5 linked regions of the Danio rerio genome follow. The protein of the gene in region 2 interacts with the protein of the main gene of each other region in a pairwise test. Links are inferred from orthologs where the notes say so. Each region holds a gene or a part of one and is shown on either strand. Other genes may lie near its edges.

The links.
Region 1: the proteins of keap1b (region 2) and ccnb1ip1 interact in binary tests that used the Homo sapiens proteins (3 or more experiments, as listed by UniProt). The two-hybrid records come from large-scale screens. The link is inferred for Danio rerio from reciprocal best matches to the Homo sapiens genes KEAP1 and CCNB1IP1.
Region 3: the proteins of keap1b (region 2) and dpp3 interact in binary tests that used the Homo sapiens proteins (3 or more experiments, as listed by UniProt). The two-hybrid records come from large-scale screens. The link is inferred for Danio rerio from reciprocal best matches to the Homo sapiens genes KEAP1 and DPP3.
Region 4: the proteins of keap1b (region 2) and nfe2l1b interact in binary tests that used the Homo sapiens proteins (3 or more experiments, as listed by UniProt). The link is inferred for Danio rerio from reciprocal best matches to the Homo sapiens genes KEAP1 and NFE2L1.
Region 5: the proteins of keap1b (region 2) and rela interact in binary tests that used the Homo sapiens proteins (3 or more experiments, as listed by UniProt). The link is inferred for Danio rerio from reciprocal best matches to the Homo sapiens genes KEAP1 and RELA.

The regions. Positions count from the first base shown.
Region 1 is NC_133182.1:19,532,948-19,539,624, forward strand, and holds the start of ccnb1ip1 (E3 ubiquitin-protein ligase CCNB1IP1), read right to left. Parts: upstream 4,410-6,677; 5' UTR 4,001-4,409; coding exon 3,978-4,000; intron 3,762-3,977; coding exon 3,458-3,761; intron 1-3,457. UniProt on the Homo sapiens protein: Ubiquitin E3 ligase that acts as a limiting factor for crossing-over during meiosis: required during zygonema to limit the colocalization of RNF212 with MutS-gamma-associated recombination sites and thereby establish early differentiation of crossover and non-crossover sites.
Region 2 is NC_133181.1:202,536-209,319, forward strand, and holds the start of keap1b (kelch-like ECH-associated protein 1B), read right to left. Parts: upstream 3,650-6,784; 5' UTR 3,633-3,649; intron 2,539-3,632; 5' UTR 2,290-2,538; coding exon 1,975-2,289; intron 1,390-1,974; coding exon 1,144-1,389; intron 1-1,143. Other genes in the region: s1pr5b (sphingosine 1-phosphate receptor 5b), read right to left, coding at 5,870-6,784. UniProt on the Homo sapiens protein: Substrate-specific adapter of a BCR (BTB-CUL3-RBX1) E3 ubiquitin ligase complex that regulates the response to oxidative stress by targeting NFE2L2/NRF2 for ubiquitination.
Region 3 is NC_133196.1:30,380,978-30,387,551, reverse strand, and holds the start of dpp3 (dipeptidyl peptidase 3), read right to left. Parts: upstream 4,337-6,574; 5' UTR 4,266-4,336; intron 3,821-4,265; 5' UTR 3,790-3,820; coding exon 3,520-3,789; intron 3,435-3,519; coding exon 3,345-3,434; intron 2,810-3,344; coding exon 2,672-2,809; intron 2,577-2,671; coding exon 2,502-2,576; intron 1,517-2,501; coding exon 1,426-1,516; intron 1,290-1,425; coding exon 1,156-1,289; intron 1,046-1,155; coding exon 915-1,045; intron 1-914. UniProt on the Homo sapiens protein: Cleaves and degrades bioactive peptides, including angiotensin, Leu-enkephalin and Met-enkephalin. Also cleaves Arg-Arg-beta-naphthylamide (in vitro).
Region 4 is NC_133187.1:30,687,345-30,693,968, reverse strand, and holds the start of nfe2l1b (endoplasmic reticulum membrane sensor NFE2L1b), read right to left. Parts: upstream 3,871-6,624; 5' UTR 3,561-3,870; exon of another isoform or gene 3,482-3,560; 5' UTR 3,189-3,481; intron 2,884-3,188; 5' UTR 2,605-2,883; coding exon 2,053-2,604; intron 1,188-2,052; exon of another isoform or gene 937-1,187; intron 1-936.
Region 5 is NC_133182.1:1,069,868-1,075,180, forward strand, and holds the end of rela (transcription factor p65), read right to left. Parts: intron 5,016-5,313; coding exon 4,881-5,015; intron 4,746-4,880; coding exon 4,641-4,745; intron 4,382-4,640; coding exon 4,166-4,381; intron 3,068-4,165; coding exon 2,990-3,067; intron 2,694-2,989; coding exon 2,589-2,693; intron 2,116-2,588; coding exon 1,808-2,115; 3' UTR 1,453-1,807; downstream 1-1,452. UniProt on the Homo sapiens protein: NF-kappa-B is a pleiotropic transcription factor present in almost all cell types and is the endpoint of a series of signal transduction events that are initiated by a vast array of stimuli related to many biological processes such as inflammation, immunity, differentiation, cell growth, tumorigenesis and apoptosis.

The sequences.
Region 1 (6,677 bases), on a different chromosome or scaffold from region 2:
TTGAACAATATATTATAACAATATAAAAACTTAATTTGAACAACTTTAAAGATGTTGTTAAAATTAAGTTCTTCGCAATGCATAGTACTAAACAAAAATTAGTTTTGATATATTTACAGTAGGAAATTTACAAAATGTGTTCATGGAACATGATGTTTACTTGATATTATAATAATTTTTGCCATATAAGAATAATAGAGCCATGTAATAACAGATATACAACTATAGAAAACTATAAACAATATATGGTTTTGTGGTCCACGATCACATATATGATTGAAACTACACAACTGTCGGCCAGTCAGGGAGTGTCAGCAGGTAGAGCGTTTCGTGGGCTTTAATCAGGTGGCCTCATCTGATTGGCTGCTGGCTAACATGAATCACAAATGTGCCATTATAATATACAGTTGAAGTCAGAATTATTAGTCCCCCCTGTTTATTTTTCCCCAGTTTCTGTTTAACAAGATTTTTTTTCAAGACATTTCTAAACATAATAGTTTTAATAACTCATTTCTAATATAATATATAATAATAATTTCTAATTTCTAATATTATCTTTGCCATGATGACAGTAAATAATATTTGACTAGATATTTTTCAATACAATGGTAATCAGCTTAAAGTGACATTTAAAGGCTTAACTAGATTAATTAGGTTAACTGGGCAAATTAGGTTATTTAGGTAAGTTATTGTATAATGATGGTTTGTTCTGTAGACTATCTAAAAAATATATAGCTTAAAGGAGCTAAAAATGTTGTCCTTAAAATGGTGTTTAAAAAATATAACTGCTTTTATTCTAGCCGGAATAAAACAAATGAGACTTTCTCCAAAAAATATATATATTATCAGACATACTGTGAAAATTTCCTTCCTCTGTTAAACATTGTTTGGGAAATATTTAAACGATAAAAAAATTCAAAGAGGGGCTAATAATTCTAACTTCAACTGTATCTAGTAGGCTTGGGCGGTAATACGGTATTATGGTATACCGCGGGATCTAAAAATAGCAACGGTGTCAGTTTCAATACCGTTATACCGTCATAATATATTAAATATCCTTTATTTAATGCCTACAAAAACGTATATGTGGTTGTCATCACGGGACAGTGTGGAGGATAGAGAGAGAGAGGAAGGGTGAGAGAGAGGGGGAGAGGGAGAGGGAGGGGGAGAGAGGGAGAGGTGACGTGACGTGACGTGACGAGTCGCGCTTCAAAGTGTCCTGCAGTTTGGCAGTTTCGACTGAACAGAAGGGAGACGTGGTTAATATGAACGAGAGGTCTGCATTAGAGCTGAAGATCTTTGCCCGAATCCGGCGAGACCCGAAAAAATCCAAATCCCTGCATTAAAATAAATCCCTGCAAAGGTGAAACAAATGATGATGAAGTAGTAAAAAAAAAGGTAATTTTGACGGCGGTCAAGTCAGTCACTAGCTCAGAAAGAGCGGTTATTCCAGCCGCAGGTATTTTGCGGTCGCTCATACACTGCGTATTACGGTAGAGCCCTAAACCGCAAGCAGGTAAAATGACGAGGCCACTCCGCTCGCTACACTTAACCGCTGTCATGGAAAATTAAATGGATGTTCCTAACTGGTAGAAGATAACCAAACAATCCTACCCAAAACTTGCAAAATCAGCCGGATAAGAACTCTGCATCTCGACCTGTAGCCGCAGGAAAGGGTGTTCAGCTGCTGGACGCACATGAGCGCAAGACTGCGCTAAAACCAGTGGATTTAATAATGTTTCTCCACAAACACACGTAGCCTAATCTTGGTGCGTAAAGGGTTTTTAAAATATAAATAAATATTAATTAAACCATATAATCATAATGAAGAAAGAGTATACAGACTAATGGTGGCATTATTATTTTAATATTCAGCTTCACCGCCGCCCTAATGCCAGATTGTGAAGAGAAGTGGAGAAACATCTTGCACCGCCTTTATCTTAATTTCGTTATTGCCAAAATACCCGTCATCATTTAGAGTTTATTTTAATTTGATTTGTTAAGCAAGATTTCTTTTCATTGGTGTGTTGGCCAATTTAAAGGCTTAGTGCATGTACCTAGACCTATAGAGTGCTGAGATGTTACGATGTTACAGAGGACTTATTTTATTTATTTGTTCCAACTTTCAAGTGGCCTATAGTCTGCGCTTGTTACGAATAAATAATGTTAAAACATATAAATGACTCATTCTTGAAAAAATGCATTAGAGCTGTGTGCATGAGCACATTTGAATAATGTCGGGCTGTAAACAGGTTTGGGCTTGATAAAGCTGTCAATCAAAATGTACCTGTCGGACTCGGGACCTATCGGGTATAATTTTTATGGCCCGATGACAGCTCTCTGCTTTCCCGCTGCTGTTCCGCGGGAGCCGGCCAGATTTCTTACGGTGTGGGAGCAAATTTCTGAATAAATCGCGGGAGAGATGTGTGTGTGTGTGTGTGTGTGTGTGTAAGAGAGAGAGAGAGAGATGCTGTGCGTTGCGTCGCTTCTCTCTCTCTCTCTCTCTCTCTCTCTCTCTCTCTCTCTCTCTCTCTCTCTCTCTCTCTCTCTCTCTCTCTCTGACCGCGAGCCTAAGGTCGCATAGAAGTTATGCAGTTTCTGAATGGTTTAGGCTCAAGCCTACAGTTTGGTGACGCTGTCTGAGCCTTACGTCATTTTTTTTTTTTTATTACGCCGGTAATACCGGATACCGGGGTAAAATATGGAGGCGGTTTGACGGTTTTAAAATTTGGATATCGCCCAAGCCTAGTATCTAGTTTTTACTCGGGACAAACTTTAAGACAGTTTGATATATTTTTAGAATATATAGTTGAAGTTAAAAATATACATATATATTTTAAATGTTTTACAAATGATGTTTAACAGAGCAAGGAATTGTTCACAATCTTTCCTATAACATTTATTCTTGTGGAGAAAGTCTGATTTGTTTTTGGTTTTTTTGGCAAGGATAATAATAATAGCATTTTTTTAATTTAAAAAAGAAAAATTTTCAGGTCACCATTAAAGTCATTTTAAGCATTTTTGAATATTACAAATTCTTTTTTAAACAGAAATAATATACAGGGGGCTAATAATTCAGGAAGGCTAATAATTCAACTGTATATATCATATATCTTTGTTAGGATATGACACTGCTTGGTGGATATAAAACTATTTGAATATCTGAGGATACAAAAAAATTCTAAATAATGAGAATAATATTTTGAACAACCTAAAAGTTGTCCAAGCTTGTTACAGTTGTCCAAAGTTACTAGCAATCCATACAGCAAAAATGAGTTTTGATATATTTACAGTAAGACAAAATGTGTTCATGGAACATGATGTTTACTTGATATTATAATGATTTTTAGCATAAAAGAAAAATGGAGCCGTGTAATATATGATATACAACTATATAAAACTGTAAGCAATATGGTTTTGTGGTCCACGGTCACATGACACCACACAATCATCAAACCTGGTAGATCCAAAAGTCTATTGCTTTATGACTGATTTCCAAAACGGTTTCAGGTTGTAGTCCGACCAGAACCATAGCTTTGTATTGCTCGGATGGGGTCAGCTCGGTTCGCAGGACGTCTAATTTGCCGGAGAGCATGGAGGAGCAGGCGGGACAGACGGCGGGGGTGCGGCTGAACTCCTCTGAGCCGTGCTGGTCACAGAAAACATGGGAGCAGGCCGTGACCCAGGCCACACCGCTCAGCTTCACCCGGCATTTGTGCGAATTACACAGCAAGGTGAATTTAGATGCAGACATGCTGGTTCTTGAGGAAGGAAATAGAACATGTATTAACAGCAGGGTAGTTACATACGGTTAGAGCTGGTGGTGAAAACGGCGAAAAACAGTTAGCAAAGACGCATTTCCAAGCTATTTCTTGCTTCCTGTTCAAATACTAAAGCTGATATTAAATTGTTTTAGCGGTTAAAAATGTATATCGCTCTTTACACTTATGTAACTTGCTAATGTGGTGATATTTTACCGTGATTTTGCGATTGTGTTCATTACAGTCAGTCAGGGAGTCTCAGGTAGAGCGTTTCGCGGGCTTTAATCAGGTGGCCTCGTCTGATTGGCTGCTGACATGAATCCAAAGAGCTCTTTGATGAATCTCAAAAGCGCCGTTTAAATAACTTTATTTACTCTTGACAAACTCTTTAGACGGTTTGGTAAAAAATAATATGTTTATGTAAAGAAAGAAAGAAGAAATCACGTTAACTGGTCAAGTAAGTAAAACACACCAAAATATGTGTCTTTACTTTTCTTGATAATGGAGTTGGACGGAGTGTAGTTGCATTATGTTTACAATATAGCAGGCAGGGGGTTTCAAGCTCAAACGCTACAGACCCACAATTGTGATAATATTTGTTCAAGATGAAATGTAAAATGCATCTGCATCATATTTTGCATAAAGACCATTTTAATTGTTAATAATAATATAAATGCGTCTGAAAATTAAAGTTTCAATTAACCCTTAATTGGCCCACAGGGTCAAATATTTTTTTTATGTCCCCTTTATCTCAGGGGCTTGACATTCTGTGACTTTTCCTAAATAATTTAAAAACAAAAAAAGGACTTCATTTGGTTGTTTTAAAGATGTGAAAACAAATCATCATCAAGCTCATCTCAGTCAGACTGAAGTCACATTAGAAATGAATGGGAAAAGTGAAAAAAACTTTTAGATTCATTTGTCCAAACAAAGTTGTAAACCCTGTTAAATCTGAAATGTTTTACATTTCTAATTTCTAGGATGTAGAGCACAAATGGAAGATGAATCGAACATTATATATCTCTTGCACACACACAAACACGCACACGCATGACTACAAATCTACAAATCTTAGGGCCCTATCATACACCCGGCGCAATGTGGCGCAAGGCGCGACGCAGTTGTTGTTTGTTCGTTTCAGATTGATACAAGAGTTGTTTTGACGTTTTGCGCCAAGCTGTTTAAATAGCAAATGCATTTGCGCTCATATGTGCGTCCATAGGCGTTCTGATCTAAAAAAGGAGACGTGTTGAGGCGCGTTGCTATTTTGAGAAACTATAATAGTCTGTTCTATAGACCACATTGTTGCCAACTTAGAGACTTTGTCGCTAGATTTAGCGACTTTTCAGACCCCCCTAGCAACAAATTTTTTTAAAAAGTGACTAGCGACAAATCTAGCGACTTTTTTGTGTGTTACTGGAGATTTTTATAGACTGTCATTTGTCCATACTGTACCGTCCCTACTCTTCTCAACGAGCTGAGGGTGATGCCGCCGGCCCCTCCCCCGCCTCAGACCACTGACAGGCGGTCCAATCAGTCCTCATACAGCAGCCTCTTCCACCTGCAACCTCACCCCTCTGTGTACCGACAGCAAATGATTTTGCTCCGATCTGCTTCTGGTTTATTTTAACAATTTAATTTGACTGTTTATTCTTTTCTTGTTCACAATCACAGATATTTTAAGTGACAGTTTTGGAACTTGTCTGAGCTTATTACACCAGAGAGATTACTGCAAATTCATTACACATCTATACTGATATATTGTGTTCAAACAGCAATAAACTTAGTTAAATTGACATGCTTACATAAAGCGTAGTGCTAATATAAATACTCCTTATTGACCATAGGCTGTTAAACAAACAGAAATGGTAGAGCGAGATGACATCAGTAATATGCAAATTAACGTATGATGTAATGTAGCGACATTTAGCGACTTTTCGGGCAGAGCCTAGCACCGAGGAAAATCGCAACAGTGATAGACCAGTACAAAGCCGGTCTATTGTCCAACGCAGAGCGCGTTAGTTGTGCACCTCGCTTACACACTACTTAATACACACAAGATGTAGAGCCATACACAAATATCTTTATATATGAAAAAAAAATTCAATTTTAAAGATATATATAGGATATAATAAGGATATATACTATGGGATATAAATATAAAGAATTAAATATTATAAAACATTATTTTCATATAAATATAAAAACCATACTTTCATGCCTTCTTCTTCTCCGGCGCCTTGTGCCACATTGTGCTGGGTGTATGATAGGGCCCTTAATGTTTATATATAAATGAAGAACTAATACTAAAGCACAAAATCAACATGGAACAAGCATGTTCACTCTGACACACTCACACACATACCCACACACTTGACTCTTGTTTTGTGTTGGATTTATATACTTTTTAATTTAAATTTCATCACTTGCTCTTAAAAAATAAATCAATTATGATAAAAAAAACTTCTGAAACAAATAATATGTGATTACAGTCATGTCCTAGTGGTGACTTGTTACAATTATGCACATTTAAACATAATAATCTACAAATGTAAATATACATAACATACATTTGAGGGGAAAAGTTTTCTAAAGCATCAAGAAAAAAATATGTGAAAATTAATGAGTCTCTATGGACCCCTGCTGGATATATGTGGAAATTGCACTTTCTTTTTTTAACAATATTTAAAAAAAAATTTTTTCTTTGACCTGCAGATGGCAGCATTCTATCCCTAAATATGAGGCAGAAACATTTAACAATAAAATTTACATCAGAATTTCATTCATTCATTTTCCTTCAGCTTAGTCTCTCTATTCATCAGGGGTCAACACTGCGGAATGAACTGCCAACTTATCCAACATGTGTTTTACACAGCAGATGCCCTTCCAGCTGCAACCCAGTACTGGGAAACACCC
Region 2 (6,784 bases):
AGAGTTGGGGTATTGGTGGTGAGGGCATGCTGTTGGGGGGTTTGGGTTAGGGGGATGTACGGTGGTGCAAAACAACAACACAGACTGAAACACTTACGAAGCTCGAGACAAAGGTAGACTCTGGAAAACATTTTCCCACGATAAGACGCAACTACAGAGGAGAAACCATCTCCCCAAGGAGAAACACAAGAACAAGACCCAAAACACTGTTAGCAGTGCCCAAACACACTTACAGGCACACGCAGAGGGAACGCTCCACACACCGGGAAATATCTATAGAGTCACGGTTTGACCTGCTGCGATTAAACATTGTTCTTGTTCTTGTGTTTCTCCTTGGGAAGATGGTTTCTCCTCTGTAGTTGCGTCTTATCGCGGGAAAATGTTTTCCAGAGTCTACATTTGTCTCGAGCTTCGCTTCGTATTTGACATGAAACGCACATTTTACTCATATATGTAGCGTGTATATGCCCATGAGCTGCCCAGGCGGAATCTGCACACGGTTTTGCTTTTTCTGCACAAAATTGTGTTCAAAATCTGCGGATTTATGTGTAATTATTTTAGGAGTATCATGACTAAAACCCTAATATATGAACTAAAACTAATCCCTTTAAACTTTAATTTCATGTTTACAATGCAAATCCATACAGATCCACTTTATTTGGTAAACAAAGCCAGTCTCTCGTATCATATCTCTCCTGAAGACATGACTGCACACTGCGCTGTACATAAATCAGATCAACATTTTCAGATCAGTCAATAATATTACAGAATAAGTACAGATGTACACACACTAACTCAAGTGAATAGACAGAATCAATGATGAGCTAAACATCTGCAGAATTCTGCGGGCCCGAATCCTCAGTGATCCCGCCGGGCTCAGATCATTTCTCTTTCTCACTACAGTCCATCTGCTCCAGAGTTTTAACTGAACCTCAGTCAGGCGATCTCGGACTGATTGATTTGGTGCAGATCCAAGCACAATTGCTGGATTCACATATGCCAAACGAGCCGCGCTGACTGGACTAACGGGACGGTTCCGAAACAGAAGTGTGGGTGTGAAAGCCCCTTATTGAGGCCTGAACTCTTGTGTTGGTGTGTGAGGGGTGTGAGAGCGGTTATCCTGTGTGCGTCGGCCGCTCTGACCTGGCTGAAGTTCATGTAGATGTACTCTCTGGCCTTCTGGTGGAGCTCCGTGCAGCCGATCTGCTCGGCGAAGCTGGCGATGCCGATGGCGTTACTGGGGTCCAGCTGCTCCACCAGGAAATCACAGCAGGCCTGAACCACGCTGTCGATCTGGTACATCACGGCGCCGTTCATCACGTGGATCACACACTTCTCACCCACTGAGATGCTCGCCGTGTACGCAAACTCAATGAGCCGGCCCATGACCTGGAGACAAGAACACACACGCACACACACACACACACACACACACCGTTTCTGAAGTGGGCACACTGAAAGGCACAGGTCACCTATAATGAACATGTCCTCCTCCTTTCCTCACTCGAGCGCTTCTACAGCTTCATCAGTCTCTGATACTCTGAGGAATGCTGGGAAAGCAGCCGCTGACGTCCACAGCAGGAACAGAAACACTGCTGCAGTCATCAGCTGCTTCCTCCAGGACATCTACCGCTGTGTTCAACAGAAACTCAAACAGGTTTGGAGGAGGAAATGAGGAGAGAGAACAGCTGCTGTCACTGATCACCTGACCACTGAGCTGTGTGTGTGTGTGTGTGTGTGTGTGTGTGTGTGCTGGAGCTCAGGAGAGGAGCTGTACACATTCAAGACCATCACTGTATCATGATGCAACACTCACACAAACACACACACTCACACACTCACACACTCGCACACACACACAGCTGGGAAAACTGCACTACAAATCCAAATTCCCATTTATTATTTTTTCCTAGTGTGTGTGTGTGTGTGTGTGTGTGTGTGTGTGTGTGTGTGTGTGAGTGTGTGTGCTGGTACCTTGGGGTGTATCCCCTCGATGGGCACCACCTCCATGCCGCACTCCTTTAGGCCGTTGGTGAACATGGCGCGGAACACAGGCGAGGACGAGGCCAGCACCACCTTATGCGCCACGAAGTCGACGTGTGTGTCGAGCGGGCAGTAGCGCACGCGGAGTGTGACGTCACACAGCTGTCTCTCGCGCCGCAGCTCGTTCATGATGGCGAAGGCGGCGGCCGTGTGGCTCTCCAGCGTGTAGCTGAAGACGCGGTGCCCATTGCTGGCCGACGGCGTCACCTCCGCCTTACACTCCGTCATGCCCGCCGCCGCCAACATCAGCGCGGGCACATCCTCACTCGCCAGCGCAGCGGTCACGAGAACACACACACACCTGTGTTAGAGACACGCACACATCATACACACACCGCTCATCACCAGCAGGAACACACGCAGAGGAACGCTCACATATCTGTGTTCTCCTGACCAGTGTGAACACACACACACACACACACACGCACACACACGCGCCTGTCAGTCAGTCTGTAGAGGAGGGCAGAGCTGCTGATCTGTGTCTGCACGCGAATCCTGAGGGGGAAACACACACACACACACAGAGAGAGAGATTAGAACAAACACTGAGGATTCACCACTGACTACGATAACACACTCTGCCATGAATGATCAGGAGTATCACACACACTCTCACACACACACACACACACACACACACACACACACACACACACACACACACACACACTCTCTCTTCTGTTGGACTCAGGACTGGTTCATCAGATCTTCGTCAGTGATTTGATCAGAACTAATGAGTTTCAGGAGTTCCTCCTGTCGTTAGCAGGAGTCTATCTTCTGCTTACACACACACATACACACACACTGACTACACACACACTGTCCTGCTGTCAGTGAACCAGAACACACTCTGATCCACACTTAGTGTGTGTGTGTGTGTTTATGAGTGTGTTTTTGTTTGTTTATGAGTGTGTGTACAGGTAAACAGAATCTCACACACTGTTAAAAATGCAGGCTTCCACACAATTCATTCATCTTGACCCAACACAAGTCGATTGAGTTAACTCAACACATTTAACAAATGCGTGTGGATTGAACATAAGAAATTTAAGTTCTCACAAATGAAACCTCAAGAATTGTGTTGTTTCAGCTCATTTTAAATAAGTAGTTTAAAAGAGCAAATATATATGCAGCAGGTGTGTGTGTGTGTGTGTGTGTGTGTGTGTGTGTGTGTGTGTGTGTGTGTGTGTGGTTCCAGCTGTCTGCTAGGTTTATTTTAATGTGTTTCTGTCAATTTGCTGAACTGAAGTGTTTATCTCCGTTTATCCTCCTCACCCCGGCTCTACAGTCATGCTTTAATTTGATTTCCGCTGTTTTCAGCTCTTATAATAACACTAAGAACACAAAGCGCGGTAAATACACATAAACAGCGAGAGGCCTGAGATCCCCGGGCTTGAGTTGAAACGGCACCGGCCCCCGGCAGCGCAGATCCGGCCACACTCAGCAGCGGCGCCGCGCCCGAGCGGGAAACCACAGACCGAGGCTGAGGAAAAGTTCAGCGCTACGCGACCCGCGCTTTAAATTATTGATGGAAACGCGAGCCGACCTCAAATCAAAACACTTTATTCGTGTTATTACCATGTTCTTACCGCGTTATAAGCCTCCATAAACAACACAGTGATCAATCAGGAATAAAGATGAAGATTAATAAAGTTCATCATGAGCTGATCTTCATCAATAAGGAGACAAGCCGCCATCCTCATCCTCACAGCTGTACATCAGAAACTGCATCAACACGAGCCTGTAGATCTGACAAACGCGGCAGTAATGTCGATTAAACACAGTAAACAATGAAAACACACTCACGGGCATCAGCAGCAGCGCACGGACACTCTCTCTCTCTCTCTGTGTGTGTGTGTGTGTGTGTGAGCACTTCTGTGTGTATGTGAGTGTGTGTACTTGTGTGTGTATCATACCCACTGAAAGCAGAAACTCAGCGTGACTAAGCATTAGCTGGCCTGTGTGTGTGTGTGTGTGTGTGTGTGTGTGTGTGTGTGTGTGAGATGCAGTACTGATGTTGGACACGAGGTGTCGCTACAGGTCAATAGAGCGGGCTGCTGCTGGGCTGTGTTTGAGCTGTTCTGCTGTTGGCTGTTCTGGGATCTGTGGTTCAGCTGACTGAACAGCTTCTGTTCTGTTCTGCTCCAGTGTGATCATCAGAGGAGGAGCTGAGCTGAGCTGAAGCTGCACACATCTCATGCCTATACTGGATCCAAAACACGATCAGTAAAACAGTCCGGCTCTCAGTGAGCAGAGCGGAGCGACAGATGGAGGACTACATGCAGAGTTATGTGTGTGTGTGTGTGTGTTCAGCAATTAACATTTTACACTGAAGGACACACACACACACACACACACACACACACACACACACACACACACACACACACACACACACACACACTGCCTCTCCAGTCTGACTTTCATTAATGAGTAAATAAACATTAAAATCTTTGTAGAAGAGCCCAATCTGTGAACAGCTGACCTCTGACCTCTGACGTGCCCGTCTACTGGAGCAGCGACTCACACTCTACTGCACTTCAGTCTGACACTCACGGCAGAGCAACACACACACACACACACACACTGGTCAGGAGAAGCTGAGAGACACACACACACTCTTCACATCTCTATTTTAATATTTCATGAGAAGTTCCAGTTTTGACAGATGACTAAGCTTGTGTGTGTGTGTGTGTGTGTGTGTGTGTGTGTGTGTGGGTAAGAAAGAGAGAGTGTGAGCGATTGAGAGATGCCCGTGGTTTAGGTGTGACGGCTCTGAGGTTGGTTTGAGTGTGTGTGTTTGTTTACGGTAAACAGTGTAAAGGTGAGCTCTGTGGTGTTTCCATGTTTGTTTGTGTGTGTGTGTGCTTGTGTGTGTGTGTGTGTGTGCATGTGTGCAACAGCAGCCCCTCTGCAGACGCACAGCTGAATTTGCAGTCACCCACATGTGTTTGTTGGTTTCCGACACGCACACACACACACACACACACACACACACACACACACACACACACACACACACACACCACACACACACACTTGTGTTCTGAGCTTTTAGTTTTTGTTTCTTCTGATGATCACCATCCCAGAAATATTTGGAGTAATTTTGGCAGCTCGTCTCCTCTCTCCTCAACCCTCACACACACACACACACACACCTTCACACTCCTCCATTCTGCCGGCTCTATCAGCCTTTTTCCTCACAGAGACCCAAAATAATGTCCCCATGAGATCATTTACTGGTATTGCTATACTTGTGGGGACATTTGGTCCTCATAAGTGATGAACACCAGATAAACTGACCCACACATATGAAGCAGCTGTAGGTTATATTCTGTCTGGGTTATTCATACATGATTTATTATACAATAAAATAGAACATCATTTATTTACACGTTAAAGCAGTAAAGCGTCCCCACAGCGCTGACACACGAGCGGCCGCAGACCCCACAGACCCCGCAGACCCCGCAGACCCCGCAGTCTGCTCAGTCCATCACGAGCTCATCCAGCTGCGCTGACCCTCAGTTCTGCTGCTGAGCGCTGTGGAGCCAGAGCAGAGACAGCACCACAGCCAGGACATCTGCTCTCTCTGAAGCTCATCACACTCAGTCTGAAACACACATCTGCTGATAGAGATCTGCAGGTGTGTGTGTGTGTGTGAGTGTGTGTGTGTGTGTGTGTGTGTGTGTGTGTTGACCTCCTTTGAGGCTTCTGAAAGGGTTTTTTGCCCCCGTGTGAGTCTGGTGTCCAGAACACTGCTCAGTTCCTGCCGTGTGACGTGATGTGTGTGTGTGTGTGCGCATGTGTGTGTGTGTGTGTCTCAGAGTCAGGTGATGACGGACAGCCGCAGTTTGGGGTAGATGGACTTGTGTATGGACGTGGCGTTGGCGGATGAGAGTGTGTTCTGCAGGCCGTGGCGGTGTGTGTCCGGTGTGCAGCGGCAGCACAGCAGCTTCAGCACGGCGCTGCGCACGTCTCTGCTGCTCAGCGTGTAGATCACGGGGTTCAGCAGCGAGTTCAGCATGGCCACGCCCAGGAAGTAGTCGGCCTTGAAGAGGATTGGACAGGCTCTGGCGGGGCAGGAGACATCCAGCAGCAGCAGCGCGAACAGCGGCGTCCAGCACAGGATGAAGGCGCCCAGCACCAGCGCCACCGTCCGCAGCAGCGCCATGTGTTTGCGGGACCGCTGCGTGTGTGTGTGTGCGTGCGTGTGCGCCCTGACCAACAGGAAGATGCGTGTGTACAGCAGCACGATGGCCAGCAGGACGCCGCTGAGCACCGACACGCAGAACAGCACGTAGCTCTTGGCGAACAGCGGCAGGACGGTGGAGCACCAGCGCAGCTCCTGCAGGCAGTTCCAGCCCAGCACCGGCAGCGCCCCCAGCAGCACCGCCAGCGCCCAGCTCAGCCCGATCAGCGCCCGCATGCGGCGGCGGCGCCTGGAGCTCTGCTGCGGCCTGGAGCTCCGCATGGTGCAGGCGCGCTCCACTGCGATGGCCAGCAGACACAGCACCGATGCCGCCAGCGTCACCAACACACCGGCCTCCCGCAGGAACCACAGCGCCGGCGTCAGGCGGAGAGTGTTCCGGCCCGACAGCACCACGTTCAGCATGTAGGCCACGCCAGCCAGCAGGTCCGATAGCGCCAGGTTGCCCAGCAGGTAGAACATGGGCATGTGGAACCTCCTGTTCCTGCGGAGGGCCAGCAGGACCGTCAGGTTCTCAGCGATGATCAGTAGGCA
Region 3 (6,574 bases), on a different chromosome or scaffold from region 2:
GTCTGCCAGCTCTCTTGTTTTTCCCCGTCTTTGTATTTGTCTCAGTGTTGTATATATTGTAAATACATATTTTTGCCTTTTTCTTTATTTTGATTGTTTTTTTGTTTTTTTTTCCACTTGGGGTATTGTAAATAAAATCACAATTTTTGGTATTTAAATGGGTTGTCTTTTGCACTTTCACTGTTTGTATAAATTTTATTTAATTGCATATAAATGTCAAACCCCACCTTACCTTAGACAAACATCAGGGGTTTGTAACAATCAGCATGGTGAATTGTGCTAGATTGATAACCTGCTTAGATTTTTAAAACAAAATCTAATTTCTCAAAGGATTTTGTTAGAATTGTATTTAATCTTTTGATTATAATTATTAGCCATGTTCATGTTCATTTTCATTTTAAGTAAATTATATTTATATTATTATAACCTTTTTGCATTACATTTGTGCTTTTGTATATTTCTATAATTATACATAAAATATAAGCATTTAACATCTACTGTTTTAAAAAAATTAATTTTTATATATTGTAACAACAAAATAAATTGAATAGATTTAGTATATCGGTTTCTTTTTTTGTTTGTTTTTGCTGTTCAGTTTGTTAGTTTTTTTCTCAGAATTTCATGACAGAAATTTGTTATATTTCTCATTACAATCTCTTTTTAAGATATTTTACAGATTTTGTATGAAACCTTTCACATTTCTTGACTGTCCATTACAGATTACACACGTCACTTTTTTAGCTACACATGCTGCAAATTTAATCCAGAGTTGATGAAAATGTTTATAATGACTGTTTTGAATAACACATTGGAACTGGGTTGGACTTGTTTGGTTAACCTTTGGCTCCACCTACACTGAAACTCAGCTATTTTTATGAAATGAGTCACAGCTCTGTTAAATATGGGTCAGTCACCTCTCCACAATAGGTCCTTTGTCCTTGATCCAAAAACGGGACCCTTCTTTATGGGCTTCCACTGAGCCATAGGTAAAACTGCGGATATACTCTTCCAACATCCTTCTCTGGTTTTCATCAGCTGCGTTAACCTAAGACAAATAAACAACTTTACTTTAGGCTCCAAAGGTCTAACGCCATTCATTTTACATTTAAAAAACATCCCTAAATCTGTGTTTTCTTTATTTTAATGACATTACACCTTGGCTTTCTCCAAATTCTGACAGACTTTCTCCATAAGAAATGAATAATCGCCCCTCTTCACACAGAACACAGCATCCTCAAATTCAAATCTTCCACAGCACGTTTTACCTTCCCCTTCTTCGGCACAACAGTCTATAGACAGGAGAAAAAATAAATAAATAAATAAATAAAATAAATAAATATCTTATCCAAAATAATACACATAATTTATTCAGAGTTTAAATAGTTCAATGATAAAATCCAAATATAAACTGTTTTTAATACTCACCCTCCGTCTTTGCAGAGGCCAAACGCACCTCATAGCACCGTTTCCCATCTACTTCTGTCTTAAACAGACGGGTGTTGTAGGCACTCAGGTTCTACAAGAAGAAAGAAGTCCAAGTGTGAGAGACCACTATTGAGAAACTGTGCAGATATAGCCACTATTAGTAAGAAAACAACAAAATCAAATTTATAAAATGGTGCAAAATGGTAAAAAAAAAAAAACTGATGATGGACTGTGAGATTATTATTTAAAACTCTGGGTGATAATTTGGCTTCTTACTCTCACTTTAAAAAAGTGCATTATTGTATACAGTTCTCTGCATAGTTAAGTACACCCCATTTTGAGAATTAATATTTTTATCAATTTCTCAGTGAATATAGACAATGTATTTTGGTGCATTTAAACAAAACAGATTTATTAAACAGATATATTTATTGAAATAATATTTTAGTCACCGGGCATCTTTAGAAATAGAAACATAACACGATTAAATTTAAGCAAAGTATTGAAAAATAAATTTACAACCTACAAAATTTCAACTACATTAATTTTTTTGCTTCTCTTGATTTTTCCTCTTTTTGAAAACTGTATTTAATATATATATATATATATATATATATATATATATATATATATATATATATAATAAAAAATAATTTAAAAGAGAGATTTATGAGGGGTGTACTTATATATGCTGAGCACTGTATATGCTCTAAAATGATGTATTGCTATTAAGAACAGGCTTAAGATGTGATGAGTAAGAAATTAGTTCTCCACAGGAGCATTTTAAAGACAACAAAATTGAACAAATGGTAAACTAAAATGTAAACAACAACTGGAGCAAAATAAAACAGGGTGTAGAGTGATACTAAAGCGATTTTAAGGCATGGATTTTTTTAAATGCTTAAATGTGTCTTATATGAGAAAGATGATGAGTTTTAAAATATTAATACAGTAACTTTCATTTATATTAATATTTGACAAAATGTATATCAGGCATTTATAATAAAAAAAGCATGATAGTCTTTAAACAGTTTTTATCTAAACAACTTGCAGGATCTTTCACTGGTGTACAATACCTTGGAGTCCAGAAACTTCTGGGCAAACTCTGCATCTTCTAAGCAGCAATTCCCTGAGAAATAAGCCGTGATTCCCTAAAAAAATAATAACAATTAGCAAAATGTAAACCTAAGATGATGCATAATAAATGCATAAAGTCATATTGTAATAGGATTTAAACAGATTTTACCTTCTCACCCAGACCAAGCTGCTTCTGCTTTTCTTCTAGAGAGTAGAGGGGCTCACAGCAGCTGTTCCACAGCACTTCTGTGCCACTGGGATCCTCCTTAAAGGCCAGACTCTCCCACACCAGAGCCTTGAACTTCTCCTGCATATACAAAATATGCACAGTTATCAAATACTAAAAGTGTTGAAACATTATCCACACATGGAGTGACAATCAGTTCACCCTAACATTTTAAACATTTACTTACGTTCATGTTGCTCCAGTCCAAAACCATGAGAAATTTCACAAAAATTAAGATATTTTTAACATTAATGGGAAATAAATCTATTCAACTAAGACTCTAAATGCGTCAAAACATTTATACAAGACAAATCCACATAAATAAAGGGGTTTAATCTAAGTTTTCCAAAAAATAAACTGAGAAAGCATGATTAGTTAGAAAACTTAAATCAAACCACTGATATGATATGATTTTTTTGATATGGATTTATTTATTATTATTATTCTATATTAGATTTTGGTGAACAGACAATCAATGGAGGGGCAGAAATGCGCTAAATTTTAAGATATCTTAATTTTTTTCAATCATGAACAAATGTCTTGTGTATTTGGAGCAACACAATGAAGAATAATCATCATCCTGGAGCAAACAATCACTTTAAGTATGGTATTTCACCTTTGGCAGGTTGGGGATAAACTTGGTGTCTCCAAATGACTTGTAGTTCCCCATGTTCGCAAAAAGCCCAGCAGCATATACAAGGAAGGCCTGGAAAACAGACAGAACATTTTTGTTACTGCAAAGAACACAGAGAGAAGATGTTAACTTTGGTGTTTGCATCAGGACATTTCACCTGATATTCCTCTGCACTCAGTCCAGCTGCAGTCGCTGTTTCCTGCATCTGCAGTGGCGTCTGTGCACGGAACATTTTTTGCAGCAGTACGTAGATCTTGGCAGACTCAGGAGATGTCTGGATCAACACGACCAGGCCACCGTACCAGGCCGCCCGAGAGAGGTAGTGTGCATACAGTTTCTCTTTGGGAGACAGCAGCTTGAAAGCCTCCCGGCAATCCAGAGCAGAGATCCCAATGTCGTTTGGGAGGTAATACTGAGAGTCCACCATTTCTGATTACAGGCAGCTTGATTTCTCTCCACTGAAAACCACAAAAGCATACATAAATCACTGATCAATAATGTCAATATGTAATAGAACAAAAAATAACCTGCTTATTATTACCCATCTGAACTTTATGTTGCACAAACACACAAAGCTAACACAATCCTGTAACGTTAAGTAAATACTTTAATCTAGGGGAAATGTGTAGACATAATGTCAGAAATGTGTCTTTAATGCTGAAAGGTGAATCAGCCCAGATTCTGTGGGTTTCTGTTTCACTTCTGGAACTCAACTGATCAGCTAATACTGTTAACGTTAGCACAGTTGATAGTGGAGGAAAGCGGACAATGAACAAACCTGTGCAACGGAAACATATAGGCAATAACTCGCTATACAAACATCCTGTTTACTATTAGAGCGAACATGGGCTCTCTCTGTAAACATTTTAAAGATATTATCAACGCGCGTGGAGCAAGTTCTACCTGAATTGTGCGTTCACTCCTGTCAAAAAAATGAGAACCACCACAAGTGTACGATTCTACTTCCGCAACTCATTCAATTGAATGACCCGCCTCTCGACCAATCAGACGGTAGAGAAGATTATTGACTGGCGTGACAACCAATAGGAATAGCAAATGAGAAGAGGCTGGGATCGAAAATGAAATAAAAGTTTCGTTAAATGCAGTTTTAGCATTTTACATTTAATTATAAATCATAAGTGTCTCAACACAATATATTACCACAAAAAAGCATTATTATGAGCATTCTCGTTATAGTGAACTAAAACAAGTTGTTATGCTAGCTGAGCTCCATGAGTTCTTGTGGAAATTATCGTGCTTTGTTTATCATCACTTAAGTGCTCAAAGTGGACTTCATTTCCCAGCAATCAAAAATAATTTCTGTCAACAGGAAATTGTCCATCTTCATGGTCAGAATAGCATTTCGACCACCCAGGATCGGGTATTTGTTTATTATGCCGTGGTTTGCTTTCTCGACTCGTCTTGCCAGATAAATAACGTTACATATTGCAACCTTTTAGGTGTTAATAATTAAATAGTTCAGCCCAAATAAAGCTTACATAAAAATATAAATTGAAATAATTATTAATAATTTCTTGAAAATTGCTTACTTCAATGTAGCATAAAAATGAACCTTCAATTCGTGATATTAGGTAATATTTTTTTTCCACAAATTTTAATTACAATATTCCCTTACTATTCTATTATTATTATTTTTAAATAGCATAACTTCAAAACATTGAAATCAGCCCAGTGTTTATTCCGGTTGTGGGAGGCTGGCATACATCTTAAGGATGGAGGTCAATATGGAGACAGGGCATCAACTCTGTCCCGATGGCGCCAGATGAGTAGATAGTAACCAGCACCTACAGATTTACCATTGTCATCAGTTTCAACAGTACATAAGAGTTTTTCTTTTTTCTCGGGAGGGATAATGCCAAATCACAGATTTTTAACAGATTTAAAAAAATCAGTCTTTTGTATTGTTTTCTGTTTTTTTATTATTGTTATTTAATTTAAGATAATGTACATTTAATTTAAAGATAAATATATATTAGGTGGCTAAGTATCAGAGATGACATGCATGTCTGCACATTAAAAAAGCAGCATTGCCAACAAGCTTCATCTCAGTGAAAAAAGCTGTGGTTTAGAGCAAGCCAATCACAGAAAGACAATGTCAATAAATCAAATAGATCCAACAGCTTATGGGGCAGCAGGTCGCCTGTTGCTTGCATGTTCATTCTCCAAGAGGAGGAGATGAACAGTGGAAATCAGAGAGCTTTTTACACAAATAATTAAATTGGTTTACATGCTTGTGATTCTGTTTTGGGTTTTATGCTAGTCAAGTAAGCTATTTGATTTTGACTAAAATATGCTTTGAGTTGGATGCTTATATTTACTTTTCAGATACAATTCCAATTTGAAAGCGAAGAGCTCGTCTGCAGTGATACCAACAGTGAAATGTATCCTTCCAGATATGTTTGGGAAATGGACTACTGTTACAAGCCTAGACTCAAATATGGTTTTCAGTGATCCGTGAGGAGAATGGACAACTGTAAGGTAATGTTTCAAGCATTTTCATATTTGATTTGAAGGGTTGGAGATATTGCACCTCAGAGGTTGCAAAATGTGTCATATTTGCAGTATTTAGATTTTTTAAAGAATGTATTTACAGTCTTTTTTCCTAAATGTATTTTTGTGGTTTGCTTAAATTACTGAACTATAATTGTGTTTGGTCTGCAGCCAGTGCCACAATCTCGTGACACTGTCTGTATTTATATGATAGTGCCAATTACGTTTTTATCTAACATAAATGCCAGCACACAGAAAAATGTGATTTTACTTGGGAACTAATATAGATGTTACATTATTTTAAAAGTGGTAGTACTTTTCCTGGAATCATGAGAGTCAGTTATTCAAACCCAAATGCTTATCTACATGATCAGAGTTCTCAGAAAAGTAAAAGACCATCTTGTTTTGACAGATGCAAACCTACTGGTGATTAATGGCCAACTGTCACATGGAACATGAAGGGAGGGTCTTTGGTATAAACACAAGCATGTCCTCAGAATGCAGCCAGTGATCTGTGAGTATGTTAATTTATCCTAACATGAGCGAATGCCACCTGCTAACATGCCTTACACAAGATCACTTTGAGTCATCTATAATTTTGAAATGACTTCAATGAATTTGGAAACAGGAGGAGAAGACTGCCACGGAAAAGCTAGAAGAAAGCAAACATTTATCGAGCAGAAGAAAAGGAGGTGAGTACA
Region 4 (6,624 bases), on a different chromosome or scaffold from region 2:
CTTTAGCACACTGGAGGAAGGACGACACCATGGCTGAAGTATTACTGTTAGACAGGTAATTCTGTTTTAAAACTATTTTATGTTAGATTGTGTTTTGTTATGAATGACTTATATGCACAGACGTGTTGTTCAGCCACTAAATCTCCCGGTGAAAGATTGATGTGATTATTTTCAGTTTTATAAGGTTCTTTGACAGCATCTATAATGTAGATTTATATTTAGTTTAACAACAAAACACCAGTAAATAGCTTAACCTGCTTTATTGAGCTGAAGCTGCTTTTATATTCACATTGGGTCATTTTTGAACAACGATAGCCTTCCTATACTGTTTACCATGCTACTCTGAATATTAGCTCTGAAATAGCATGTAACGTTAAGTGTGGCTAAGTAATAAATGTAATTCCTGCTCAGCGCTGGCACTAACTAACTGGCGAATGACATGAACTAGTGGGTTGTCTGTCGCCTGTTGTGACCCGGTGCACGCGCTTGCGATTTCAGGGGGTGTGGCTTTGAATCACAGTCCCTCCCCGCCGTCCAAAAATAATATGCTAAGCGGTTAGCTTTTTGGCAGATCACCTACTGCACCTTTAAATAAATAAAAACTCCAGGTTTGCACAGCCCACTTAAAGCTCAATCCCACATACTTGGAGCTGGCTCTGACCTATGAGTATACCCTTCTCATATGATGTGCCTTATTTGGATGTAGGCATGGGACAATAACAAGTTTTAAAGGTTTATTGTGGTTTGGAAAAGTCAAGATTTTAACACCCCTAAAATGTTCTGTTATATCAGGGCAGGAGTGGGCAAACTCAATCCTGGAGGGCCGGTGTCCTGCACAGTTTAGCTATTAACACTAATCAAACACACCTGTACAAGCTAATCAGTGTCTTCAAGATCACTAGAAATCTATAAGCAGGTGTAATTGATTAGAGTTGTAGCTAAACCGAGCACGACACCGGTCCTCCAGGACCGAGTTTGCCCACCCCTGTGTTATACGATTCCCAAAATATGCAAGGCAGGAGTGCACAAACTTCCAGTAAAGTTTAGTTCCAACCCCAATCAGACACACCCGGACTAGCTAATCAAGCTCTAATCAGACTTTTTTAGATACATCCATGCAAGTGTGTTGAGGCAAGTTGGAGATAAAATCTACAGGACACCGGCCCTCCAGGAATGAGTTTGGACAGGTTGGACAAGTTTTTTTTGTGTGTTTTAAAACAATCTGTGTTTTTAAAACTAATTAAGTGGTCAGAAGTCAATCATTTATTTTAACTATTTAGCCTGACATATTTACTGCTCCAAAATGTTATAAATGTTTCTTTAAAAAAAGTGTTCAATGTTTTTTTTTTTTTTTTATTAATCAATTGACCTTTTTTACCCAGACATTTTAAAAGAACTTATTTAAGAGCAGTAATCACAATACCATGATACCATGGTATTCTTATCCAAGGTATCTTCCCATCAGAAACTTAAACCAGCCCATGCCTATTTGGATGGCACAATATGAACTTTAAGCTGCAGTGTAATTGTGGTTATCTTAAATAAATGGGATTATATCACATAACTATAATAAGATGTTTAATCAATAATCGCAAAAGGTCTACAAAAAGGTCTAAAAAAAGAGAAAACTTCTTTCTCAACAAAATGAAACACTACATATCCTGTGAGATCCTGACAACCATATGAGTAGACATCCTCTATCTAAAAGGCAAATCATCAGTAAATACAACAACTAATCTATACATACGTCATTAAAAAAAGCTGTGATTTTGCCAAAAAAATTACCATTTCCAAGCTTAAAAACCTTAAGATTAGCACAACTATCTAGCTTTCAGAGCTCTATCAATGAGACCACACCCTGTCCAGCCACTATTGAAGGACTCAAACATACAAGCAGTTCACAAACATTGCTTTTAATAGCCACTATTCAATGGCCTTAATCTAATATCGAGAGATAATAGCATAACGCTGTTCTCCCTTTGAAGAAATCAAATACGTTCCAACGTCAATCTAATTACAGCAGGCTAAGCTAAAAACACACAGCTACTGTACCTCTTTGGAGAGGTCGTCGCTGCTCTCTCTCTCCCCTTGCTCCTGGCTGTCCTCAGGGGCCACGGCTCCCAGGCTGTCCTCTCCACTGAGGCTGTAAGTGGTCTCAGAAGTACCGCCAGCCCCTCTCATGGCCGAGGCTTCGGAGTTGTTCACGTCCTCCAGGCTGCCCCCATTGTCCAGGGCAATGCTGGGGCCGGACTGACTGGTTGCCGAAACCACAGTCTCAGGGTCACGATGCACCAGCCAGGCACTCAGCTCCGTGCTAGGCACACGCAGATGATCCAGCGAACGCACCTGGTTCAATAGCCGACGAGTGGCAAAAAAATGGTCCAGATCCACACTTTTAGGATGGATGCCATAGCCGTCCAGGGTGTTGCGGAGATTGTGGAACTGCGTCTGGGTGTAGGCCGAGCTGGGGCCCAGGATGATCTCACGGAGCGGGGGGAGCTGATTGTTTAAGTAAGTGTCCAAGTCCACTCGTACCCCAATCAGACTCAGGAGGATAGTGAACTGAATAAGACCCTCTGTGAAGTACTTTTTCAAGTAAAGCATTTCTTTGCAAAGGAACAAAAAAGAAAACTCAAAAAGCAACTAAAAAGCAAAAAAAAGAAAAACAAATCACGCAAACAAACGTCAAACCAAATTAGGTTACGTTTAACCTTGTATATAATAAAAAATCAAAAGCAGACACAACATAAAATGATGCTCGCTTTGTTCCACAGTCATGTGCTTTTAATTAAATACTACTAAAGTTGAATCCACTTTTGTTTTTGATTAACGCTTTTGCGCCCCAAATAATATCCAGGTTATATCTGCAAGCATGAGTTTTTCCTGCAAACATAGAGAAGAGAAACAATAGTCAAAATGCCATTATATTGGCATGAATAACAGCTGATTATGATTGCAATGAAAGATTGATATAAATTAAAGAAACATTAAAGTTTACAACTTGCAGCATGACTTATCATGCTATACAAATCAAGTTTTATTATAATATCAATAACAGAGTAATATCAATCTATATGTCACAGACCATTTTTGTTTTATATGTTATAAAACATTAATACATTATGACCTCCCACTAAATACACCCACCTCATAATCACACCCACATCCATCCACCCATCCCTGTATACCTCAAAAAACGTGATATCCTTAAAGGAATCCCGCATGTTCGCCGTCAATAACAGCAGATCGGTGACTGAACTCCGTCGTTTATTGTCTATTTTCACCACATCCTTCTAAAACCTCGTCTAAAGACAATTTATTTGTCCAGGCGCTGTGAAGTATTGACCTCTCACACTTCCGCTATCGGAGCCCAGCAGCCCGTTAGCAACAAGTGGCGCAACAGCCTCTGATTGGCTGAGATGGCTGTCACTCATTTTCTCGCCGCGCTGCAGCCAATAATGAGGCGGGGCCTGACCGGGTTCTGCCGGGGACACTGAATTACTAATAACAACTTTTATTAAATACCCATTTCTGTTTATCGGTCAAACCTAGCCACTTACAACAATTCCTGTAGCTCAAGCAACGTTGTCACGTGCATTTGCTGCAGACACACCAACACACACTCCCACATTCGCAAATACGAAAGCTATAGCTAACTTAGCCAGCTAGCGTAGCATCAAAATAGTCGTTTTTTCATACTTACTCAGAATGAGTTTACTGACAAATGACTCCGAATACATCCATATGCATTCACAACCACTGTCATTAGTCACTTCCAGCTAACCATGCACTTATCCCCTCAGATATCTGTATGGTTGTCACTCCCCTCTCGCTTTGAATGGCCCACCATGACTTGCAGAATTTCCTCTTGCCGACAACTTGGCCGAAACTGAGGCGCTGAAACACGCTGCCACTGCGCAGGCGTAGAATATTCTAGCGAACATACGGCATGAGATCATTCATCAGAATTCCCCGTTGTATTCACAGCCCATAAATAATACGATACATTTTTAATTAAAACAATTAGATTTATATTTAAGATTTATATTAGATTTATATTTAAGAACTTGCGTCATTTGTTTTTTACTATTGTTTTTAGTTTTACATGTATTGTGGCACCCTTACCAAAAACACAAAACTATTGACTATAGCCTACCTAAAACGCAGCATTAGGAAAAGTAATGGCACACACATAGTATACGTGTATTATTTTTTTAAAATTAAAAGTCATGTCATGTACGTCATTGTCTGCCGGTTATCCAGGGCCAGGTCGCGGGGGCAGCAGTCACAGCAGGGAAGGGAATCCCGGACTTCCCAGACACTTTCTTCAGCACTTCAAGGGGGATCCCAAGGTGTTTCCAGACAAGCAGAAACGCAGTCCCTCCAATGTCCAGGGTCATCCCCTGGGTCTCCCTCTGATGGGACAAACCACCTCAACTAGCATCTCTTGATGTGGAAGAGCAGCAGCTCACCTCACCCAAGAGCTCCTCAACTTGTCTTAAAGGCTGTACCACTATGCGAAGAAAACTCATTTCAGCTGCTTGTAGGTGCAATCTTGTACTTTTTTCATGACCCAAAGCTTATGACCAGGTTAGAGAAGCCATAGATTGAAGAGTAGCCTATATTTCGAGCTGTCCCTTCACAACAACAGACCAGTACATCAACCGCATTAGTGCTGCTGCTGCACTGATTCTCCTGTCAATCTCACTTTCCATCCTTCAACAACTTGTGAACATAATCCCAAGTTACTTGAACTCCTCCACCTGGGGTACAGACACTCTTCCAAGCAGGAGATGGCAGGCCAATTTTTTTCAGTTGAGCACTCTGGCTTTGGCAATGTCACAAACCATCCCAGTGCATGCTGAATTTCCAGGTTTGATGGAGCCAACAGGACAGCATCAACTTCAAATAGCAGAGATGAAAACCTGTGGTCCCCAAATCATCCAGGGGTAGCACATCTTGTCAAATTCAAATGTTTATTAGAATAAACTACCGGTCGAATAAACACAAAAAGTTCATATGACATTTGAAGCTGACAAGATATGTGTTCTACATCCTTATCTAAAGCGGTAGACATTTGAAGCTGACAAGATTCAATTCAATTTGTTTATTGTCATGTGCACAGTAAGGAAACACGTTTCCCTGTACAATGAGATGCTCTATACTGTTTTTATTTTTATAGATTAAACATGACAGACTGAGCAACCAGTAGCACATTCTGAGGGTGTACAGATCGTCAGAACAATGCAAACCAAACTCCTGCTTCGGTCATATAGAGGCAAGACAGCCCTTAACAGAATGTCTTGTACACTATAAAGTCAACAAAGCAACTGTGAAATAGACAGGTGAACTTTCACAAACCCTCGAGCACCCTAGAGAGCTGGTCCAGTGTTCCACGGCCAAGATGAAAACCACATTGCTCTATACTTTCCAGTATCCTTGCATCCTCTTGGATGCTGAGAAGTGTAGTCCCACTGTAGTTGGGTGCACAGCACTGTTCCCGACCTCCACATGATGTGGTAGAGGTAGTGCAAGGCTGCTGGGGTGGATAAGACTATCCCTGAGTACCTCAGTCTCTGGATGGGGTGGGGTTGTCTTAGTTGACAACTATTAAACATCGCTTAAAAAAGTAATGCATCAAATAGACTAGCTGTCAAGCATTTTATATGAATTTTTATATGAACTTAAATTGAAATCCTTTACTCTAGTATATTAAAATAATATAAATTTTCTGTATATAACGAAATTAAGATTAATGGTGCTGGAAAACAAACAGTGTGCGACTCATATTGATGAGCAAGAGGGGTACATTTTTTGGTAGTTTGGTAATGCATGCTTCAGTGAAACAAATTTATGAATGTATTTAAATTACATCTTATTTATTAATAAAATGTATACATTTTCAGTGTTTTCAGGGATATTTAGTGAGTATTTTAGAGGTTACTGAAGGTCAAACTATGCAAATTATTTGTTTAATTGTTCTTTTTTAACACTACATGCAGATGTAAACACCAATTTTACAAGAAAAGTGTTATGTGAATACTTAAGATGTTTGTCGGTGCACTATATCTGCCAGTTTCAGACTGTTGAGTGATACTTTCACTAGCTTTGATTGGCACAATTATGCATTCACAATGAAATAAACAATTATAAAGTGGGTTAAATGTTTATTTATATTATAAATTTTTAATTATTAATATTTAAGATAGAGATCAGAGATCAGAGAAAGCTATTCCCTACCATTAAAGTAAGTAAGAAATACACTTCTTGTGTTATGCCACAGCCATATCACCCTGCAGCCCAAGACCGGTTACTCACTGAAGCTAAGCAGGGCTGAGCCTGGTCAGTACCTGGATGGGAGACCACATGGGAAAACTAGGTTGCTGTTGGAATTGGTGTTAGAGAGGCCAGCAGGGGGCGCTCGACCTGTGGTCTGTGGTCCTAATGCCCCAGTAAAGTGAAGGGGACACTACACTGTCAGTGGGCGCTGTCTTTTGGATGCGACGTGAAACTGAGGTTCTGAATCTCTGTGGTCATTAAAAATTCCATGGCACTTCTCGTAAAGAGCAGGGGTGTAACCCGCAATCGGCCCATATGATCATGGCCGCCCAATCATCCCCATCC
Region 5 (5,313 bases), on a different chromosome or scaffold from region 2:
GCGATACAGAGCGATATTTATACGTTGTGGCCTCACGCATCAGTCAGTCAGTCAGCACGTCATCTTAAAGGGTTAAACAAATTAGGCACAGCACTACTGCGGTTACAGAAATGTTTGCGCTGTTATAATTCACTTACCCTTTACTATGTTTTGGTGCGATTATTACCCGCTATTAAAAAAATGAGAATGAGAAGCTGTAATGTAGCCGTGGCGGGTTGAATTTTGGCATGGCGTCCCGCTATAGAAGATTAATGTAGCGGAAACCATGCACCGTCATATGCATTTAACTTGACGCTCAAAAACGAAAGTTGCAGGCAGCAGTTACATTACTTCACCTGTAGGTGGCGACAACCAGCCATCAAAAATACGCCTCTGAATAATTCTTAAACATTGGTCATCTAGCAATGAAGCTTTATAAGTGAATAACTGAATCAATTATTGAAGATAAGACTAAATTAATTAAGAATGTTCAAATAATGATGTTAGACTTCTACATTTAGCGTCATCAGCAACAGCAGCAGTAACAGTAAATTTCCCACAGCACTGAATATTTTAGTTTGTTGTTATTCAGCTGATTATTTCTTCTATGTTATTTTTAATAAATCACAGGTTCTCAGTTCTGTTTGTTAAAACCTAAAGTGTCTTGCAGTGCTGTTTCTGTAATAAATGGAAAGCAAACTACATTTGTCTCCCCCTTTATAGCTTGTTATGGGTTTGTGATTGGTCTTTTCTGTTTCCTGGTTTTGCTTTCTTTTTAGCTGCGTCGCAAATGGCACACTATACACTATGCACTCATGCACTATGTACTTATGTACTTACACACTCAACAGGACAGTATATGTATGTAGTGTCGTCCCAAATGGAGCACTAATGTTTTTTTACTAAGCGGAAATTCAAACCGTTTCCCTGATGACGTGTGACAGTCGCCAAATCAGTGAAATAAACAACAGAATTATCTAATAATACCTGCCGTGAGTATTGCCGCATTCACCATCGGGAGGCGCTATACTCACTCTCATAGGAGAATTTTGCTTTCACCATCCAAAATAAATAAAGTTATCCAACATGTGCGTCCGATAGCTCCGCCCCTTCCGCTACGTAAGCAAACCTGCGGTCGTTGAGTGCGTGAAGTGTCCATCATTACACACTTCATTATACTGGCTGAATGAGTGCATCATCCGGGTAATTAAAGTGCACTTATTATTCTTAGAGTTTTCAGTGTGAACACACTACTGACACTATTTATACTACAAAATGAAGTAGAATAGTGCATAAGTATGCGATTTGGGACGCAGTAGATGTTTAGTAGGTGACTCAGTATGGTGCAGCATGTGCGGCTAATCTTCTGGCTTATTAAAGGAGCTTCTAAGATGTGTTTGGGAGAATCGTTTTTTGGTTTGACTTTGTTTGGCTTACCTACTGCTTATATTACTTTTCTTTATTTTGAACTTTGCTCCGATGTAATCTGATGTTGTTTTGAACATTATGGGGAATGTTTTGATATGGTTACTTAAATTAATTTGGTTATTTAAATTGCTTCCTTGTCCTCAATTGTGAGTTGCTTTGGATAAAAGCGTCTGCTAAATGACTAAATGTAAATGTAAAATGGTTACTCTGATTTCTCTTTGCACTTTATGTTATTATTTTGTCTTTGTAACCTTTAAATGAATATCTCTTAGCAGTTTTTCATTCAGCTTGGTTTGGTTCCCTTCTTTTTGTTGCGTGCTCAAGGCGGCACATAACAAGCTGATCCAAAAAATGGTCTGATCCGTGACAATGTGATGCAAACCATGAGATCTGTGATGCGTTACACTAATAAGAGCACGTGTGTGAGGTGTGTGTAATGCAGTGTGTACGGGTGCAGGACAGTATTCTCTCCCCTGGCTGCTGTTATCAGCCTTGCATCCCTACCGGTGGAAACGGTTCCACTGGGAAAGGGCAGCACCGGCACCGCTTTGGGCTGGCTGTCCACTGACATGGCCTGCAGATACTTCCAGATGTCTGAGGAGGATGCCGGCAAGGGTGAGGGCTCCATCTTTTGCTGGGTGAAGAGCTGACCGGGGGGCGGAGAGAAAAAGGAGGTGGGTGGAGGCTTCAGTGGAGGAGCGGCGGACACTAGACAGACACAGAGAGAAAACAGCTCAGCACACTGTTTAAACCACAGCTCTCATGCAGAAATCACTCTTGAGATGTTGTGTGTGTGTGTGTGTGTGTGTGTGTGTGTGTGAGTGTGTTAGTCAGGTGTGTGTCCTCCTTAAGCGTCTCCTGTGTGTAACACTAGTGTCCTCTACATCTCCTCCTTCTGTTGTGATGTCTGACTGTTGTAGCTGTGTAATAACTCTGATCATTCAGTGGAGTGATATGGAGCTGTATTGTGCTCTAAACCTGCCGGAACTACTTTAGCTGTGCCTTTATCTGACAATAACCAAACACCTGAGAGTGACCAGCAGCCAATCAGAATCCAGCATTCAGCAGAGGTGATGTGTAAATGGTAATGAGAGATCAGTGTGTTTGATTGAACAGAGTATTGATCAGTGTGTGTTACTCCGCTGTACACACCCACGGTCGAGCGGATGAGGAAAAGTTACCTGCTGGTACACTGGCTGGTGCACTGGCTGCCACTGGCTGTTTGGAGACAGGTAGAGTTCGTTTAGCCGTAGGGAATGGCCGTCTTTCAGCAGACATCGAGGACCCTACACATGCACGCACACACACACACATTGACCAGAAGACAGACCTCTGAGCTATTAGTAAAATGATATCATGTGATGATCATTAATACACACACACACACCCACACACTCAATAACCACGTACACACTCATAAGTGCGCAAACACAGACACACTCAATGACCCATACACATTCATTAGTGATTAGCGAACATACAAAAAGACACACAGACACACACTGACCCCACGCAATCACCCACTGACACACACACACACACACACACACACACACACACACACACACACACACACACACACCTGTGATGATACTGCTCAGCTTGAGATTATGCAGCATTCCTTCAGTTCTCTTGCGCTTCTCCATCAGCCGGTGCTCATCTGCTCATTTCACACACACACATACACACACACGACAAAATATTAAATCATCTCATTACATTACACAGAATATGCAGTAATAACAATGTAATAATGCTGTAATAAAGCAGTAAGAACCCAATAACAACACTATTAACACCGTAATAATGCAGTAATAACACAGTAATTACTTGGTAATGTCACAATAACTCAGTAGTAATGCTGTGATAATGCGGGTACACAAAGATAACAGTAGTATTACTGCATTATTATCGTGTTAATAGTGCTACCACAGTAAGAAAACAAAGAAAATGCAGAAATAACAGTGATAATGCAGCAATAATGCTGTAATAACTGCTAACACTGTATTTATGTAGTAATCATGAATTAACAAAACTATATTACACCCTAAGATTGCAATAACACTGTAATAACGCAGCAATAATGCCATGATGAAGTCATAACAGTGATAACAGTTATAACAGTGATAATAATGCAGTAGTAACAATAATAATGCAGTAATAATGCTGATAGTGTGATAATGTAGTAATAACATTGTAAAAATTTTATTAATGAATTAACAGTAATAACGCTGTAATAATGGAATAATGCTGTAAAACACGTACACATTGCAGTAATAACACAGTAATATTGCCATAATATTGCTGTAATAATGTCATAATGCAGTAATAACGTAGTAATAATGCGGTAATGTAGTAATAATGCTGTAACAACACTTAATTAACACTGTAATGATGCAGTAATGTATTAATAATGCAGTAATAACAAGTAATTAACCCCGTAATAATGCGGTAATGTAGTAATAATGCAGTAATAACACTCAACACCGTAATAATGCGGTAATGTAGTAATAATGCAGTAATAATACTTAATTAACACCGTAATAATGCGGTAATGTAGAAATAATGCATTAATAACACTTAATTAACACTAATAATTCAGTAATGTAGTAATTATGCTGTAATAACAGTTTATTAACCATAATAATGCAGTAATAATACTTAATTAACCATAATAATGCAGTAATAACACTTAGTTAACACTGTAATAACTAGGTATTAATGCAGTATGTAATGGCAACACTGTAATAAAGCTCACCCGGGTCTGAGGGCAGGTACTGGAAGTCCATGGGCTCGCTGACCTCGCGGTCAGATGGTCTGCGCAGCTGCATCTTGACACGCAGCGGCTCGGTCAGGTTAGTGTCGCAGTAGGGCGGCGTGCGGAACACTATCGCCACCTGCCGGTGCACATCAGCCTGAGAGAACGAGCCCTTACTCTCCCACGAGTCCAGGAAGAAGCGCACCTCAATGTCCTCTGAAACACACACACACACAGCATTTTAACCCAGCCCTATGAACAATATTAATACTGAAAATGATCAGTATAAATAAATATATGAATGAATCAAACGTTCAGTGAGACAGTATATGAGCGATGCTGAAACAGGCTGTGTGTGTGTCTCTGTGCTTTTGTGTGTTTATGTGTCTGATTGAGAGTGTGTGTTTGTCTTTAAGTATCCGTGTCTGTCTCTGTATTTGTGTGTGTGTGTGTCTCTGCAGTGCCACACACACACCTTTCTGTACTTTATCACACAGCAGGAAAATCTCGTCTCCTCCTCGACAGCTGCCGGAGTTTCTATTGACACGGCAGATCTTCAGCTCAGCAGTGTTAGGAGCTCCTGCAGGACACAAACACAGAGTTACACACACACAAACACACACATAGATGCACATACAGAAACACAAACAGATACACACAAACGCATACAGATGCACAAACAGACACACACACACACACACACACACAGTCGTACTGTTGTCGTATATCGGCTGAGAGACGACGGGCTCCAGAGGGAACAGATCTCCGCTGCTCAGGGTGATGGAGACCTGGAAACACAGACGCACCGCGTTCAGGTCGAACTCCTCCTCCCAGATCTTTGCGTCAGGAACTACACACACACACATGCACACGTGCAGAGAGAGAGAGAGAATCCAGGTTGCAGATTAACAGTTATGTGTTTGTAAAATGTCATTCACAAATACAGAATGACACAAAAATAAACAAATGTAATTTTGATCCCGCTTGCTTTTGAAGCGTTGTTGATCGAGTTCTTAAATGCCTATGATTGATCACACGCTCAACAGAGAGGGCTGCGATTGGCTCTAATGGTCAGCGCGACTTTGGTGTTGTTCAGCAAACAGTGACACGGACACTGATGTTAATCGGCCGCGGCGATCAGCTGGTCC